Linked DNA regions of Oryzias latipes. The protein of the gene in region 2 interacts with the protein of the main gene of each other region in a biochemical or structural test. Links are inferred from orthologs where the notes say so. Each region holds a gene or a part of one and is shown on either strand. Other genes may lie near its edges. The genes, in order: rnf40, wac and vcpip1.

The links.
Region 1: the proteins of wac (region 2) and rnf40 form a complex in vitro, tested with the Homo sapiens proteins (2 studies listed by BioGRID). The link is inferred for Oryzias latipes from reciprocal best matches to the Homo sapiens genes WAC and RNF40.
Region 3: the proteins of wac (region 2) and vcpip1 form a complex in vitro, tested with the Homo sapiens proteins (2 studies listed by BioGRID). The link is inferred for Oryzias latipes from reciprocal best matches to the Homo sapiens genes WAC and VCPIP1.

What each region holds. Positions count from the first base shown.
Region 1 is NC_019877.2:9,330,750-9,334,946, reverse strand, and holds the start of rnf40 (E3 ubiquitin-protein ligase BRE1B), read right to left. Parts: upstream 2,950-4,197; 5' UTR 2,467-2,949; intron 2,413-2,466; exon of another isoform or gene 2,042-2,412; 5' UTR 2,034-2,041; coding exon 1,896-2,033; intron 1,796-1,895; coding exon 1,628-1,795; exon of another isoform or gene 1,444-1,627; coding exon 1,143-1,443; intron 911-1,142; coding exon 710-910; intron 544-709; exon of another isoform or gene 1-543. Other genes in the region: phkg2 (phosphorylase b kinase gamma catalytic chain, liver/testis isoform), read left to right, coding at 3,924-4,018, 4,121-4,197.
Region 2 is NC_019878.2:7,928,918-7,932,567, forward strand, and holds part of wac (WW domain-containing adapter protein with coiled-coil), read right to left. Parts: intron 2,651-3,650; coding exon 2,535-2,650; intron 2,416-2,534; coding exon 2,300-2,415; intron 1-2,299.
Region 3 is NC_019875.2:10,353,637-10,357,975, forward strand, and holds the start of vcpip1 (deubiquitinating protein VCIP135), read right to left. Parts: upstream 2,861-4,339; 5' UTR 1,721-2,860; coding exon 1-1,720. UniProt on the Homo sapiens protein: Deubiquitinating enzyme involved in DNA repair and reassembly of the Golgi apparatus and the endoplasmic reticulum following mitosis. Necessary for VCP-mediated reassembly of Golgi stacks after mitosis.

The DNA.
Region 1 (4,197 bases), on a different chromosome or scaffold from region 2:
TGCCTTGTAAGTCAGGAGAAAGATGTCTGTTCATTATAAAAGACGAATTTATGTTCTTTGCCAGCAGTAACTTCCTCTTTAAACTCTTAAAACACTGAATCAATTTTGACCAAAATTATTCTTATTTAACTCATAAATACAGATCACAACTAAAGCAAATTAGGCTTAAAATCCTTTATGCTGCCCTGGATTTCCCTTTGTCCCACTAGATAATGTGTTATGAGGTATTTTATTTTACTTTGTAAAGTTTTCTCTGTGGATCATAATGACTTCCTGAAAACCTAAAATCTTCAAAATGCATTTAAAAGGGTTTTCTGAGTGGCACATTTCAAAAAGTGTTTTTAATTTGTTCTTGAATTTCTTTATGCTGGACTAATATTTGAACCACTTGACCTCTCAGTCAGCTTCTTTTTAGGTTAATTCTTGATTCAACAGGCCTGGCAGTAATCAGTGCCGGGTGTGGCTAATGAAATTGAACTCAGCTTTTATGATATGGAAATGCGAACAGGTTCTTCTTAACATGGGACATGACAGCTTATGAAGGTAATTTTGTTTCTTCAGCATTTCTGGAAGTTTTGCCAACAGAAAATTACTAACTTAATTATCAAAAATACAACTTTAATTACTTATAAAACCCAGGAAAATGCTAATTGCTATTTTGGAGCATAGTGTATGAATGTGTTTCTAATGAGGAGTTTTGAATTGTTACCTGCTTCCTGAGCTGCTCTGCACATGCTGTCAATGCGGCTGTGCAGTCTGTCGAAGACGCACACCAGCTGGGCGATGGCGTCTTTGCTGAACTGCATGCGGTCCTGGAGATGCAAGGCCAGTTCCTCCTCTGTACTTTGTTCGAGCACAGCCAAAAACCCCTTGGCATTTTCACTCAATGGAGGGGGAGGCGGTGCTGAGTCTGCAAAAAATAAAACCATTTAAGGATAGTCAAGGGACCAAAACAATGGGCTCCTGAATAATTCATCAATATGATCAAACTCAGAAGCTTTAAATTCTGTTCTAAAACATTTTTAAAAAATTTTAAAAAGACAAAATTTATACTCCTGGGACCATTTTGACAATTAAAGATATTGACTGACAATGAACAGCGTAAAATTAAAGTTTTAATGAACTTAGCCCAAAATGCTAACCTGTTTTTGATTCTGGTGCTGGCTCGGTCTGTGTCAATAACTCTTCTGACCCGGCAGGCGGTGGGGGCTGCTGTTCTTCCTGGGTTTTTTCCTGACGCTCCTCGACCTGCTGCTGGTCCATCTGCTCGCTTTCGCTCTGGATTTCAGGCACGGGTGGCGCTGGTCCTTCAGAGCGGGGCGAAGATAGTCTGACACCACTGTCATCAACTGCTGTGGCGTCAGCTACTGGTGCCATGGGAGGAGCCGGAGCAGGCTGTTCAGGCTCAATGCGTTTGCGAAGCAACCTTACGCTCTCTTCCAACTGTAAACCAGAGAAAACGTAGAAGAATCCACTGGATCAATTTAAGGACTATTACTGACAGTGGCATGTTGCTAAGAGCAGAGCTCACTAGTGAGTAATTCCAAAGGATTTAGCTTCTGTCTTAAGCTGGTTTTTGAATGCATTATTTACATTTAAAAGCTTAACACTGCAATAAATAAGGTACCTGTGACCAGTAGCGATTGACAATCAGAAGAGTGGTGTCATCAGTGGCTTGTCTCTTCTCTAACTTTTCAATCTTCTCTCGTAACTCATCCTCCATCGCTTGCCTCTGCTCCAGGCGCTCGCACAGCTTCTTATTTTTAAACTGGATAACCTTCATGTCCATTTCCTCCTGTACATAAGACAGATTTTAGTTTCAGTTTAAAAAAATGGCATAATTAAATCATGTGAAGATTTAAAATTCTAAACACCAAATACACCAAATGACAGACCGTAGAGGAGACTCCAGCAATACGTATTGGCTCAATAAGTGTGGTGGTGGTCTTCTCCTCTTTCTTGCTCTTTTTCTCAGGGGGACCAGGGGGGCTATCCCCTCCTGAGGGACGCTTCCCTCCCCCAGAACCAGACATGTCTGCTCCTGCATGAAATTGAACATAAACATATTTAGTACCAATCTGTCAGAAACCTACATCCTTTTCTCAGCAAATTATGACAACCGGTAAAAGATCACTTTCAAAGAAGGAAAACTGTCTTCCGACTAAGCTACAGAAACAATAACATTAGTATGCCTTCAAACTATCACAAAGTAAAAGCTACAATCAAAATTATATCGACCTCTCTTTTCAAATCAATGTATGTTTTCTAAGCTTGCCAACACTAGCTAAGCTAATGGTTAGCTAAGCTAAGCAGCGCTTCTTCTTTAGCTCATAAAATTACATTGTTTCGGCATTTTCAATTCACTGACCATTCCTACATAAGCTGTGCGTTTAAAATGTCACATTAACTTATATGCACATATTCACAAAGACACACAAATATCTTGGAAATGTTGACACAACAGACCTTAGCAAGAAACGTATCAGGAGGCGTCAGGAAATGCTGTTCTTCTTCGTTGAAACACAAAGACTTGTAGTACTATCGCCACCTAGTGTTCATTTTTTACTTAAAAAAACCCGAAACCCTCACATTGAGCTTCTTGCATCAGACAATATAAAAGCTAACCAAGTAGTTCAAATTGAATTTTTGTCCTCTAATATAGGATTAAGGGAATTAAAGCAGAACAACCAAAGTAACTAGTTGCAAGATTACCTAGATCATTAAAGCTTCTAACGTATAAACATTCATAGAGCTAACGTTGGGGAAACTACTGTCAATTATCTTGCAGGTTTTATTTAGTTAGCAAAAAAAGGCAATAAGGGATGTTTATATAGGAGGCTAATGTGACCATTCAGCTCTATTATTTAACCGTCCTAAACTTCGACATCAACTTAGTCGAAAGCTCAACAATGGTCAAAGCCAAAATCTCTGAAATCAATCCAGTAATTAATCAATTAATCAAAAGTATTTTTTTCACAGAAAAACTTTCAGATTAAGGAAGGAAAATTAATGTAAAAGTGATGCTGTTTGGCAAATTCATATGTAAATATGTGTCCATATGTTTAAATAAAGGTATAGATGACAACAAAGGGAGTGAAAATTACTTTTAAGTTACCAAGTAGAATTTGTGTTGTTGTTGTTTATGTTTACTATATTTCTTCTTCAAATTCGTGACTGAGTATGTTGTTTAATGCAAACAAAACTGTCCAATATTCTGTTATGTGCTCTTAATTTTTTAATCTGTCCTAAAAAAAAACTTTATTTTATTCAACTTTTTTTAAACCTGGAAACTCACACAAAGTGTAATATAAACCAGTGCAACATATTACTACATTCTTTTTTTAAACATACTTAAAAATGTAATAAATAAACATTTATTGTATGGTTATTGTTGTTGTGAATTCTGGACACAAACGTCCTGCGAGACTCCCGCCTCAAGGGGGCAGTGCCGCCACAGCATCAAACCGGTCTCAAACGATTTTGAAGGAATTTGACCAGAATGTAAACATTGCTCTAACCGGAGACAACTTCTTAAGCATATCTGGAGTGCCGTCACGACTCGGTAAAACCCAGTTATGGCTTCGACATAAATCCCCAGAGCGGAGGGTATCAGTTCGGCTGATATTCGCGGTCCTTTTCTTGCAGTTTTTGGGCACACTTGCTTGGTGAGTAGCTTCCTGGTCGGTCAGTGAACCTGCTCACAGGACAAGGCCAAATCAAAGACGCTCTACCCTGACTGACAAGTCCATGCTGTACATTGATATTATCACAACAAGTACATTTTTAAAATAGGTTTATGTCGAGCAATTGGGGTGTTTAAATGTTTACGAAGTCCCAACAAAACTTCCTTCCAAGAGTTAGCTAAAGTCGTCCCCGTCGGGTGCGCGTGTGAGTAAAATTTGATGCCGTTACACAGATCCATCATGACCAAGGACATCGTTGTTGGAGACGAGCTGCCAGACTGGGTGGGAGCGAAGGAATTTTACCAGAAATATGACCCGAAGGAGGTTATTGGCAGGTGAGCTGAAAGGAAAGAACAGGATGTTCTCTGACGCGCTCCGTCCCGCTTGCCGCTAATGATGGAGTCGTGGTGCGTTCACGTGCGTCTGTCCCCTCTCAGGGGGGTGAGCAGTGTGGTCCGCCGGTGTGTGCACAGGCACACGGGGCAGGAGCTGGCCGTGAAAATCATAGAGATCA
Region 2 (3,650 bases):
CATTCTACAACAGAAGTTTCCGTCTCTTGAGGAAATATGACAAATTTACTGCGTTCTAATTATGCATTTCCATTACAAGCTGAGCGCTTTCTTAAGTGCGCGACACGGCCGCCCACCGGAGGACTTTGTGTTGGGGGGGTTGGGGGATTATTCCTGTTCTCCTTCACTCTGTAATACCAAACACGAACTGTTAAATTTCGATGAATATCACTACATGTTTTGTTTGGGAACTATTTTGTGCAGCACAACGTTTCGTGTCTGTATAAACAAAACCCTAGCCTCCTGCCCTGCGTTCTTCATGGATGTCAGGCTTCATGGCTACCGGAAAGGTGACAAAGTGTCTGCAGTCTCGTTTATTACTGGGCAATATATAATATTCTGAGAAGATGTCTGTACCAGAGAGCACAGGTGAAGCCTCGCATGCAGCTCCAGAGCACTCCGCTGCAGAAGAATCAACACGCACCCCCCAACACACTTGTACGCGGTCCTTCCTCCACACGCAGCACGCTGACACAGACACGCATAGTCATTCTACAGCACCCATATGGTTAGTTCATTAGTTAGATAGGTATCAAAAATAAAAAATCCCACACTGTCACAGCTCTTTTCATTTATACGACAAGAAATCATTATGCAACCTGGCGCTCAGTGTCCACACACCACTAACCCTGCATGTAACCGGTAATCTCTCCTGCTACAACCTACACAGACAAACCAGCACCCACATCATGTGGATTCTCAGATCATAACACAATGAATGAGTTTTACAATAGAGACTGAGATCAAATGCGAAATCTCCGGAAAATTACCAACATGTATTAGCTAAGCAGTTTTCTGAATTTAAATTCTTTAACTGCAGAGAGTCTAGGTGGGAGAAATTACAATCCTTAGTAGAAAATAAATAAACAAAAACATAAAATGTACTGAAATTCAGAATTTCAGAACATATAAAGAGCAGACAAAAGGATTAAAATGAAAAGACAAACGTAGCTGCAGTACCAATTTGTTTTAAGTAGAAGTGCTTCATTTCACCTGTTGATAAAAACACCTGGAAAATGCTAAATGTACTACATACTAGTACCTACTCAATAACAACTAGAGGTACCAGAGGCTAAAAAGTAGTACTATGATGACTTCAATGTAACCAACATTGGAAAAGAGGAGCTAAAAGCATCTATTCTCCTAATTTTGTTGAGACTGGAGTTGGCAGGTTTGTTGGTGTGATCAGATGGTTTTGGATCTGAAACATTCACTACTGATACGTTTTTCTAGCCCAACAAAGAGCTAAAACTATGTTAACTGTAATCTGCCAGTTTCAGTTCTAATAAAATCACTTAAACATATCAGTCACAAAAGAATATAATATATTAGCTCACACTTGCATTTTGTCAAAATAATTTACCAAAACAAAAAAAACTTTTTTATTTGTGAGGTCGTCTGTGAAGTATAGTGGTCCCTCAATATCGCTGTCGATCTTTTGCTGTCTTAACATTTAAGTGCAATTTTGCATGCCTTTTGCTTTTTTTTTTACATTATGTTTCGTGTCCTGATTGGTTGTAAGGCATTCACAGTCAATCTCTGTGCCGTTTCTCTTGTATAGAAAGCCTTCAGCAGATCTTTGGTCTCATTCTACAATCCTGAACTTATTTTTCCTATGAAGGTTTGAACTTTGAGAGTTTAAACGAGAGAAAAGTGTAAAAATGTTCATGTCTGACTGAGAAAAGTGTATAGTGTGTAGTGAGGGGATTTAGCCTTAAATCATTGCACAAATATTAGATTTTGTCTATTATAAGTTATTTTTAGAACGCAGCTCCTGCACCAAAATGAGGGATTACTGTATATAAGTAATTTCAGTGCAATTCCATCAGATAAAACCTAGTTGTAAGGTAGGGGTGCGACAGATCATGGCTGAACCGTAAACCCCAAGGATCACTAGTTTTTAATTTCTTGTTTTCTGGAAGAGATTTGCAATCAGCCCATATTAACAGGTGCTTTAAATCAGGTAATTGATTTATAGACCTATAAGCACCAGAGGCACCACACAACTTGACAGCTAAATAATATCCAGTGACCTGTGAGAAATAATCTACAACTTTGTTATTCAGTGATGAGTAGAATGCTCTTTACACCGAAGACCTGTAATATGATCAAAACATTTGACATGCCTGACAAAATGTTTTATCTGCTAAGCATTAGCCATACTAGCTGCTAGGTTAAAACATAATTAACAGTCTGACCAATAAAACAAAGTAAGTGTGATTTAGTGAGATGAGTCAGAAAAGATCTGTGCAACACTTACTAGGACCAGTAAAGCCAGGGGCTGCTGTTGCTTGCATAGCCTCCCTTCTGTAGTCCCTGTCCTTTGGGAAATTGTTGACAACAGCAGTCTTTGTTGCCTCTTTTTGCCTTTGTTCTCTAAGCGGCAAATACAACAACACTGTTAGAGATCTGTGCTTAACAACACTTGTGCAAATGTACTTTAGTGTGCAAAGCCAAATACTGTTTCATTAGTGGAAAAAAAACCATAAAACTACCTCTCAAGCCATTCCTTGGGCTTCTCCCACTGGGAAACTTCTGTCCTACAGTTGTAATAATATTTCTTTCCAGAGGAACTGATGTGCTCTGACCAGTCATCAGCAGGCTCGAAAGGCTGAGTAGAAGAACACAAACTTAGAAACAAATGGCTTCCTGTCAGACAGACAGGTGTTTTGGTAGAGGTCTGATGCAATAGCCGGCAATCTGTTCTAAAATGCAAAGGAGGATGGGATGGAAGCAGAAGGGGAGAATTAGCTCTCCTATGACAGAAAAGTCCCCTTTAACCCTTCATCGTCAGTGTGAATTTACTTTACATCTACATTTAACATTTTAAAACTGAAGCATTTTTATGTTGTCATTAGTATGACGCTACATTCACACCGAAGGTGATTCATGTGTCAAATCTGTGTCAGGCGCATTTCTTTTGATGAGTGACAAATTTGCCACTGGACCCTTGCCAAAAACTGTGTTCATGAACGTGATGCTCCAGACGCATGTGGGAGGAGCTACTCTCCAAAGTTTTTAACTTCATCGCTACGTGAATGGGATATACATGTCTCTATATCCCATTTAGAGTGCATGGAAGACACGGATGATGTTGGGATCAGGTTCATTTATTTTCCAGATAAAAAAACATTGGTAATCATGTCTCCATTAGGTCATTCAGATTCTCCCAGTACATGAGCTTCCCCCCATCTACTGAAGGAGCGTCGTCTGAAAGACGGCGCTTTCAGCGGTACTTCTGTCTCTCGGTGACCCAGTGTGACGAATTGCTGCCTCACATTAGTCCGAGTAAGGAAAAAAGAAAAATAAGAATAAGAGAATTAGAAAATAAAAGTATGGAAAAAAATATGAAGCTCAGGAGGAGAACAATTCGATTCCCCTTCATGTTGGTTTTGTACTTCACCCCCTGATGACATCATCAAGAAGTCATGGGCAAAAGCTGAGTCCCTAATTGGTTGATGCGAGGCGTCTTTTTTGCCAAAGTATTTGAACTCTCGATGCAACGCCCAAATCATGTAGATGCCACACGCCTAATTGCGCTGCAGGACCTCTGACCACGTCCGTACATTAGTTTAAGATTAAAAATTGGATGCCCCTAACGCGTGAATCGC
Region 3 (4,339 bases), on a different chromosome or scaffold from region 2:
GCACCACCCGACCCCCCCACTCCAGCGTGATGGGGAACGCTTCTGGCAGATTTTCGTACTCCTTCCCCTCCCAGTAATGTTTGAAGCCACACCCACATTTCCCACCCTGGGAGCGGGTGTTCGTCCTGTCCCCGTCTAGGTAAACCACAGATCCGTTTCCACGGATGTGGCGCACCGAGGTGCCGTGACACCAGTTGCAGGTGTTGAGGCCACTCAGCTTGTAGTCTGGGATCAGGGCGTCCCTCTGGGGGTCGTAGGAGCAGACTATGTTGTTCAGAGGAAAGCTGTAGTTCTTGTCGGGCCGCAGCTGACCGTGCGTGGACTTGGCGAGGTTGTAGAGCTTCCCGCCGGGAACGAGCCACTCCGACGGGACGTGGAGCTCAGAGAGGGCGCCGCAGATCAGACAGCGGTGCAACCGATACTCCAACACTGACTTTTTGGCTGCTTCCGTCACTTCCTCAGGCTGGACGCCGATCACCCCGGTCCTTCTGTAGACATACTGGTGCACGTCAGCCACCAGGGACGGGTGGATGTTGTGCTTCTCCATGAACACCTCCTCCATGGCGTTGACCAGCCTCATCAGGTATTTGTCCTGCAGGCTGCGGTCGCCGCCGATCACACAGCTCCCGTCGGGCTCCAGACGGATGTACTTTTTGATGAGTTCCTGAGGGACGCCCCAGGCCTTCGGCAGCAGGTGAGCAGGCAGTTTGGGTAGCACCGTGTTCTTGATTCCCACCAGAGGGATGTAGTGGTTCCGGCTGGAGCTGCTCCAGGCAATGCATATGGGTTTGTTGGGCTTCCCGTCCTTCCCCCTGCACTGCTCCTCCGGTACCAACCCGGGCAGGAAGGTGGCGGAATAGTCTCCGGAGCTCCTCATCCCAACCAGAGAGTCCAAAAGGATTATGGGCCGATGGAGGACGTTAGCTAAACCAAATATGTGGATGTTGCGCAGGCCCAGAGGCACTCCTTCAGGGGGGATGAAAAGCGGGTCGCACTCATTGATGATGTCCTCCCACTCTGCAGCATCAATAAAATCCTGAAATAAGGCTTTGTAGCGACCCAGGTTCTGTTTGAAGTTCTGCTTGAGGTTCTCTCTCAGAGCATGCCAGAACAGTTCTCTGCCTACCAGCGCTCTGGACACAGCGTGGACCAGGCAGTGGCCGTCTCCATCCACGTGCACCGGGATCAGACACTCCCTGCTGCCGTTTGCCTTCTTCACCTCCTCCAGAGTGTCGTGCAGGTAGATGAGGCTCCCGGACCGGTCCTTCCCGTAGCCCATGGTGGCCACATGCTCCGGCTCGATCAGGAAGGCTCTGTCCCCCAGCAGGGAGCAGTCGAACATCTCCCCCTGGTTCATCTCTCTGAGCAGCTGGGCTTTGCCGGTCTGCTTGTCCATCCCGTACCTGGTGAGGACCGGGGACAGGAGCTTGCAGTGATAGTTGGAGAGCCCCATCACCTTCACCAGCTCGGTCCCCTTCTTCGGGGCCCCGGTGACGCCGAGCAGGGCGTTTCTGAGCAGATTGTGCAGCACGACATCTGGATCGGTCACCTCCTCCACGTTCAGCAGGCTCTTCTGCTCGTGCCGCTGGCCGCACTCCGTGCACTCAATGCTAACAGAACCGAAAGCGGGGAAGAACAGCCGCGCCTGACATTTCGGGTCCGGGCAGGTACCGGACAAGATTCGCTTGTCTTTTTTCTTTGAGGCTGGCAGAAGCGACATTGCGTTTGGTAAAAAGCTTAAACCTCCTTCCAACTTTACAAAAGCATGTTAATCTCACCCCAGAGGCGGACAGAAGAGGTTTGTCGCCGCTAACGCTGCTGTTTGCTAGAATAGCACCAGAACAACACGGAAGCGGCTGTTTTTTCCTTATAGCAACGGTCTGTTGCAAAACGTGAGGACGTCAGACGGTGGCTTGTGGGACTTGTAGTCCAATTCTTATTTTTCCCAAATGTCATACCTAATTAAAAGGTAAATATTTTGTTTTTAAAAAGTAAATATGTATTAATATTATTATATTACAAAGAAAAGGTAAAAAATCACGACTCAGGCTGACAGGTAACCAAATGAATTAGTCAGATCTACAGATTATTACACCATTTACCAGAATGCAACGCGTAAGGCGGCTGTTTTGTTGTGAAAGGAAGTCTGTCAGAATTCTATTGGTAATCGCCGATAGAGTTATATTAAATATTTTAAACCATCCAAAAATAGTTATAGTCGAAGCCCAGACAATTTTTCAGGTTGTGGGTTTGTCTCTGTCACTGGAGGCAGAAAACCTTCCATGTTTAATGCCATTAATTAAAGTACGGAGCTTTGTTTTTAGCCTAGCACTGTGCTAGGTAGGTAATAACCCAGCCAGGTGGTGTACGGAACGACGTGGAATGAGCCACCAAACATGTTGTCAAATCGAGCTTAGCTCCAAAAATGTTTTAATCCAAGTAAAGAAATCCACCAAATTAATACTTAAGTGATAGAATTTTTTTAAATAGATGTGACAACAACGCGTATACAGTAGTATATCCAAGACATGAGCTAAATTTCTAATATTATTGGACGCGTAATAATTCTGTAATTTAAACCATGTTCAGGCCGCTTACAAAACCCGCTGTGATACAAACACAAACAGCAGGTTAGTAATTTAGTTCGTGTGTGTGGTATCGCGTGTAGTTCTTGACCATAATTATTAATGTAAAGCTCGTTGCCGCCCTCTTGTGGTCATAATATTTATGGCAAGTCATAGAAAACTGCCCGTACAAAAATACACCTTTTTTAAATTGTATTTTAAGTTATAATCGGATATATAAACATTTTAATTGAAAACAAGGATTTTGTACCAAAACAGATTTAACCCACTGTTAGGATTTTTAGTTACAAACCTTTTGTGAAAAACAAATCCAAGCCGAAAGAATGGTATGTATGCAACCATCTCTCCAATGTAATGAGAAAAGATATAACAAATCTAGAGTGATAAAAAAAGCTTAAATGACCAATATTGTAAAGAAAGTGAACAAAAGTTAAAAGTTTTAGTCAGCCAATCAATCAAACTTTATTTATATAGCACTTTTCCTATAAAACCATAACGCAAAGGGCTTTACATAAAAATAAATAATATAAGAACAAGCACAAAAATAAAAATAGGGCCCCCCTCCCCATACCTACACACAACCCCACCCCTTTCACAGCTCCCACCCCCTAACTGATGAAGATAGAAAATGAAATAGGTTGAGCACGAAAATATATTGTTTGTTATTGTAAACGCTGTTAATAATTGGAACCTCCCTCTCTGTGAATAACTGCATAGCCAGCCAAATGCAGCATCACAGGCAAAATTTTGCAGGAAGAGGCTGGATGGGATGACGGAATGCAGAATATTTAATGATGGCTGCAGTTACATAAAGCACACTGCTTAGATACTCCCTGTCCCTTTTTTTCATACAAAGCTACCACAGTCATTTAATTTGCAATTACTTTAGATATTTCTGTGTTCTATACTAAGGACAAAATCTTCTACAGCCTTGGCTATCCATCCATTTTACATATGCCTTATGCTAGGGTCACAGGGTACACCCTGCCTCATCAATCCATCAGCGAGCTTTACACAGGAGAAACAACCACGCTTTTATTTACACTTAAGGGAAAATATAGTCACAATTAATCTACAAGATATGTTGTTGGAGTTTGGAGGAAGCCAGAGTACTAGGAGAAAACCCATGTGTGTAGAAAGGTTCCAGCTGGTATTCAGATCAGCGCCTTCTCACTGTAAGATGAGAATGCTAACCACTACACTTATATGCAGATTGGGACAACTGTTTTTTAACTTTTCAATGAAAATACCTGAAGTCATGATTTTTTAAAAATGTGTCTTTCCCGTTTTGGCAACCCAGTCAATTCTTAACAATGGCAAAAGAAAACCTAAGTATGTCCATCCAAACATTCTTTGATTCCTGTATTTGATTTTGAATATCATGTAGTACCACCAACTAACCATAGGATGTCAGTGCTGTCTATTTAATTAACCTATTCGGGAGTGGAGGAACAAACTTTGGCCTTTACTGATTAACTTCTAGTTTTAGACTAGAATGACCCACGGACCGGTACCGGTCCGTGGGTCATTCTCCCTCTGAAATTATAAAAGGTAGGTGCTTCGTATTAAGAAGTCTCCAGCTTGTTCAGAATGCAGCAGCTAGATTGTTAGCAGGAACTAGTAGAAGAGATCACATCACTCCTGTGTTAGTTTCACTCCATTGGCTCCCAGTTGATTCTAGATCAAGTTGAAGATCCTCCTGTTACAGTTTTTCTCAGTCGCTTTAGTACAATTCTCAGATCAGAATTAAAGTT